Linked DNA regions of Mus musculus: region 1 is reported to be linked to region 2. The links are microRNA targets in miRTarBase. Many come from high-throughput screens and were not tested one by one. Region 2 holds a microRNA gene; the other region holds the end of a gene's coding sequence.
Evidence for each region. Region 2 holds the annotated microRNA mmu-miR-344d-3p (GAUAUAACCACUGCCAGACUGA, at 1,087-1,108, opposite strand). A microRNA usually pairs through its seed, bases 2 to 8, with sites in the 3' UTR of a target mRNA and lowers its output. Matches are read on the target gene's strand: a 7mer-m8 pairs with bases 2 to 8, a 7mer-A1 pairs with bases 2 to 7 and ends in A, and an 8mer does both.

Region 1 (3,000 bases), not on the chromosome of region 2:
GGGCCCACTGGTGCTGTACCTGTTGGTGGGCACGCTCTTCCTTCTGGCAGGCTTCGTGTCACTCTTCCGCATCCGGAGCGTCATCAAGCAGGGTGGCACTAAGACGGACAAGCTAGAGAAGCTCATGATCCGCATCGGCATCTTCACCCTGCTCTACACGGTGCCAGCCAGCATCGTGGTGGCCTGCTACCTGTATGAGCAGCACTACCGGGAGAGCTGGGAGGCAGCCCTCACCTGCGCGTGTCCGGGACCGGACGCTGGCCAGCCACGCGCCAAACCCGAGTACTGGGTGCTCATGCTCAAGTACTTCATGTGCCTGGTGGTGGGCATCACGTCGGGAGTCTGGATCTGGTCCGGCAAGACTCTGGAGTCTTGGCGGCGGTTCACCAGCCGCTGCTGCTGCAGCTCTCGGCGGGGCCACAAGAGCGGTGGCGCTATGGCCGCAGGAGACTATGCGGAGGCCAGCGCCGCGCTCACCGGCAGGACCGGGCCGCCTGGCCCCACCGCCGCATACCACAAGCAAGTGTCCCTGTCGCACGTATAGGAAGGCCTGGAGGCCGAGGCCCAGGGACAGTGCTGGAAGTTGAAGGGGGCAGTTGTTTCGCTTGGTAGCTTTGTGAAGGTCACTTCCGTTTACCTTCTTGGTGCTGATGCCCCCTCCCAGAGTGGCTTGGAGAGGAAAAGGGGGCGGTTTCAAGAGATTACCTGTCCCCAGTCTTCTACAGGGGGCTCGGCTCGCAGGGCAGTGGGTTAAGTGTATTCTAGTTTGCATTTCTTACTGCTTTCTTTAGAAGTACCTTGTTTTTAATTTATATGTATTTTAAGTTTTAACTTTGTTGCATTTTGGCAACAAAATTTACCTTTGCTTTGGGGGCTACATAATCCTCAAATTGGCATTGTAATGAGGTTACTGTTGGTTCAGGTTTTTTTGGACTGTGTGGTCTAAATTAGGAAAATATATTTCCTATACGTGTCTTTTTTTTTTTTTTTTATAAATGTGAACAGTGAAAGGCTGCTGTGAGTGGGAAGGTGTGGAGTGTGTGTGTGTGTGTGTGTGTGTGTGTGTGTTTTAAGGTAGTTTCTTCTTACAGTGCTTAAAATGTCCAGGACACTTAGAGGCCAGAGGCCATCTGCTCTTTCTGTGTCTAGCCCCCTCAAGTCCTCTGTGAAAGTAGACCATGATGTGGTTAGGACCATCCCTCACATGATAAGGTTAGAGTTTTGTGAGCCTCCTTAACCTTGCTCAGCAAGCGTTGGGCTCTTGGCAGCCGAGCTGCCATCTTTCTCATCCCCGATAGAGCCAGCCGCCCTTGTCGTGTCTTGAATAAGTTAGAGGAGGCATTATAGAGCGGACCTAAACATTTGCCTTGGAGCCTGAGGGATGGGGATTGGCTGAATGTGAATTCTGAACTAGTGAGGTGGTGAGCCTTCTGCTGGAGAGGGTGGCTCTTAAGATGCTCCAGAGAGCCCCACCCCCACCCCCCACCCCCGAGCTTTTGAGAATAAAAAATTAGGCTACAAATTTCAGTAAAAATAAATTCACTCCCTTTTTCTGGAAGTAGTTAGGACTCTTTGCTAAAGGGGGCTCTCTTTTAGATTAAAGGACAAAAAACGGATATGCTTCCAGTAATTAAAGTAAATTCCCATTGCTTCGAATCTGCGGCTCCGGCCCACCTCCTTTATCATGTTAAACAGTCCTCCTTGCTTTTCTTATTCCTCCTGGTGGAGAGTGGTGATTAGAAACCACACCCACCCACCAATGAAGTGCTCAGACTGGGGGAGGGAGGTTAGTTACCTGGGAACAAACCTTGGCTCAGGGGGAAAACAAATGGCCCTGAACTCAAGGTTTAAAGCCAGATAGATATATTCCCCAAAGCAGCTACACCATGCCCTAGTAGCCTGAAAACCAACAAGACTCCTAACTTAAGCTTTGTAATATGGGGGCTACTGTAAGTGTAAAGCCACTGCTGGAGAGACCAGGTTTCTTTCCCCCCCCTTTTGAGAGAGCCTGTATAGTGATGGACACCCCCTTACCCAGTTTCCCTGCTATTAGAAGAGTCTGTTTGCTTTCCTAATCTATTTAACTATTCATTCACTAAGAGTGTGGGGCCATTACTGGGAAGGAAATGGCAGGGCGTACCAGTGACCAAGGCAGAGCGGGGACTGAATTTAGGGATCTAAAATGGCCAAGCCACTGAAATGTCACCAAGCTTTCCTAGAGAAACAGCTGGAGTCTAGGCATCCCGATTTTCTTTTGCAGCAGCTGGGGGGTGGGTTGGGGGTAGGGAGAGTTAAGCCTGAGCCAGCTTTATGCCCCAGGGACTGAGTGGAAAAAAGCGTAGTTCCCACTGGGAATGTAAGCAGTCAGAGGGTGTTCACATTTGTAAAATACTCTGCCCTCGCTCACTGGAGTCAGAATTAGAATTTCAGTGGCTTCCACAAGACCTTGTACACCTAGATGCAGGACTCTGTGAAGGTCTTATTCCGATGCCCTTTTCCTTCCGGGAACCTCAACACACTCACTGGCTATGCACCACTTCTGTTTTTCAAATGAGGTTCTTTTCTTATCACCTTGCCCTCTTGCCTTGTTTAGCATGGTCTTCCCAGAATCTGCTGCTCCCTCCCCACCCACCCCCCCTCAGTCTGCTGTGCATAGTTAGGGTTGTTCCTCTCTCACAAAGAAAATCGAGAATTGGACATACAGTGTATCTAAAAGTTGTGGGGTGGAGCGGATGAAAGTGATTTAATTCATCTTTTTTAGAATGATTATTTTTTTCCATCTAAGCAACATGCCAAAGCTGTAAAAAAAAAGAATGATTAATAATACCCTTTGAACAATACAGCAGTTGAAGTGGGCGCAATGCTAGAGCTGGAGGCCGGGAATGCCTTTGGATGGAGCTTCAGAGGCCTGGAGTTTTCTGTCCTCTGCTCCCCTCTCCCTTACCCTTAGAGAGACAAAGCGCACCTGCTTCCCTGAAGCCAACAGGAGTTTCTAGCCAG
Region 2 (3,201 bases):
TCTCCTTCACTAATTGCTTCTGTTGTAAACTCTGATTATAGAATTTCTTAGAAAATGTAATATCTAATATTGTAAGCATAAGAGAGCTTTTAGAATTATAGTGCCACATTCTGCCCATGGATTTCTCCAAGCATACTTAGTTTGTATGAAATGCTGGAGTGTCTCATATAATTCCACACTATGTGGTGGAATTCAGTGCTAAAAACAATGTTTATATGATGTATTTGGTACAATTAATGGGGTTGTAAGGTGCCAGGATATTTTCTGATGCATGTATAGTTATAAGGCATTTAAGACTGTCAGGAATATCTTCACCACAGTAAGAGAATTTCATAAATATCTAGGTTATACCACAAAAACTGGATCACTAAAGACAGAATGCAAATGACCAGAAAAGCATATAGGTCTAGAGGTATCCACTAGTACAAGGTCACTATGAAAATAACTGTCTTCATTTTCTTCTTTTACATGCTGTAATACCAAGATAGAGGTCAGCAAAATATGATCTTGTGATTCCCTTAAAGGGCTCCTGACCCCCCGTGAACTGTGATGTAGCAAAAGCCAGACTTGGAAAAATGACCACCTAGACAATCTAATGAATTAAAACAATAACAACACTCTAAACTATGGTTGTACCTATGGATGCCTTTTGCGAACAATGGCAGTAGGTTAAAAGAATCACTCTCCGAAGAGTACTTTGATTCTGGGTACTATATGATATGACTCTGGATTTTTCTGAGTGTTCATGGTGATTAGTTGAGAATATTTACTGCCAAAGGATTTCTCTCAGTAGCTGAATGAAAGATGTGAAGATGCGAGATATTACCTAGTCTCTGTCACAAGCTGTAGCTTGAATTTTGTATTTTATTTTCAGAAGACACAGCTCAACATGAAACAAGGAAGTAACATTTCAAATCAAATACCTGAATTTCCCATAGGGGGGTGACAGCTACGATATGAAACATGGAGTTAAGCAACCAGTGCATGGAGACTGAAATAAATAAGCACAGGCTTCCCAGCTTACCACTGGCTCTGTCTGCTGACAGTGACACAGCACTCTCCACTCTCCCTTCTCTTTAGCACCATTCAGTCTGGCAGTGGTTATATCCAGGACCAGATAAGTCCTGGAGTATAACCACTAGCCTGACTGATGAAATCTTCCCCTGCAAACAAATTTATTTGCTCTCCTTGCTTCTGATTGATGGAGAATGTGTATTCAAATAGAGAATGGCATCAGATCCAATCAGGAAAGAGATTTTATAACTAGGCATGCACATCAAATCCTGCTGTTACCATGGTGATCTCATCAGTGCTGCTGATTCATGCCCCAACCCTTCCACCCTGACTTCCCTTAAGAAAGCAGAAATATTGATAAAAAGATATCAGAAAAAGCTGTTTTTTACATTCTTCTTACTATATTACCAACAAAAAAAAACGTCAGTAGAACCTTTGAGCAGAGCACTTCCTATTTTTGGTTCCTTCTATTTAGATCCAGAGAGTTTGCCAGAATACCTCTCTTTCATTTTGGGCTTTTTTGTTGCCTGCTGAATAATTGTGATGTGCCTATGTCTCCCTCAGTGATTGATTATGTTGTTTTCTCTGATTATAGCCTTTCCTATTACAACAATATTTAATAGGGTATCATCAAAGTGGTTTTGGAATACTAAGTGCAATATTCTTCCTATATCCTGCTCCACCAGTACTCAATTTATAAGTGACAGTGAAGTGTCTCATAGATATGCACAATATTAAGAGGAAAACTAGAGTTGAAAATACTGTTCATATACTTTGGATAATTCCAACAATACATAGTATGTAGGAAATTTTAAACTGTGCTTATAAAGAAGACATAATTTTTTTGATTTACATATAGTTGCAAATTGTTTACTACTGTTAGGAATATCTGAATGAAAATACTACATTTAGTAAATATCAAGGTTATACCACAGAGACCTGGATGCTAAAGACAGAGTAGAAATAACTGAAATAAATATAGGTCTCGAGAAAGCCACTAGTAAAAGGTCCCCATGAAAACTATTGTGTTTATTTCTTTTTTGTATTGCATATAATATAAAAATGGAGATGTTCAGGAGATGGATGATGAATTGGTTTTCCTAAAGTGCTCATGACCCCCTAGATCATGTAGTTATTAATGAACTGACTTGGAAGAACAAAAATGCTAGAGATTCTTCTATATTGAACATAAAACACCAATATAAACAAGGGTTGAATAATTGAAAGTTTTATTTTATTTTTTTACCATTAATAAGAACATGCTGTCAGCATCACTGCCGAAAGGGTGAATATTTTCTGAGTATGGTAGTATCTTTGTCTCTTATTTAACTCAAGATTATTTCAGAAATATCATGATGGTATATTGAGGTCATTTGCTACCACAGCATTTCTCACAGTGTCTGACCTAAAGTTATGAAAATGTCAAAAATTTGCTAGTCTCCCTCATAAGCTGAAGCTTAATCTTGTATCTTCTTTGCAGAAGACATGACCCAAACTGACTAAGGCAAGGAATGGACACCAAAAGCTTATACCTGAATTTCACATGTGGTGACATTCCCTGTATAGAGACAAGGAATCATGTCATGTAATGGAGGCTCTGAAAAAAAACAAGAGCTATCCTTGCAACTGTCTACTGACTCCATCTTCTGTCAGTTACAGAAACACTCTTAAATTTCTTTAATAGCAAACAAGCAGGCTTTGGTTATACCCAGGACCAGATAAGTCCTGAAATATAGCCAGAAGCTTGACTGATAAAATCTTTTCTTGCAGACAAATTTATTGTCTCTTTCTATCTTTGTTTCTGATTGATGGGGTACATTCATCCAAACAAAGAATGGAATAATAAGATACAACCAAGAAGGAGATCATATAACTAGGCATGAACATCAAAGCATGCAGAAAACTTGGAGATCTCCATTAGTGCTGCTTATTTATACCTCACTTCTCCCTCCCTAGGTTCCCAGAAGAAAGCAGAAAAAATTTGAAAGTAGATGAATTGAGGAGGGACAGTATACATAAAATACTATGCTAGAGACACTAGCTCTGTGGGTACTGGTTAGTTCATATTGTTGTTCCACCTATAGGGTTGCAGACCCCTTCAGCTCCTTGGGTGTTTTCCCTAGCTTCTCCATTGGGGGCCCTGTGCTCCATCCAATAGCTGACTGTGAGCATCTACTTCTGTGTTTT

Region 1: miRTarBase lists Fzd5 as a target of mmu-miR-344d-3p. The part of its 3' UTR that is shown has no 7-base or 8-base seed match.

The regions. Positions count from the first base shown.
Region 1 is chr1:64,732,387-64,735,386 of GRCm38, reverse strand. It overlaps Fzd5 (frizzled class receptor 5), which reads left to right. Exons shown (of 2, transcript NM_022721.3): 2 at 1-3,000. The coding sequence ends at 544. Among named protein-coding and RNA genes, the nearest start is that of Fzd5, 3.9 kb to the left of the region's middle.
Region 2 is chr7:61,725,170-61,728,370 of GRCm38, forward strand. It overlaps Mir344d-3 (microRNA 344d-3), which reads right to left and starts at 1,159; the gene lies at 1,080-1,159. All of the region lies in intron 6 of A230057D06Rik (RIKEN cDNA A230057D06 gene), which reads right to left.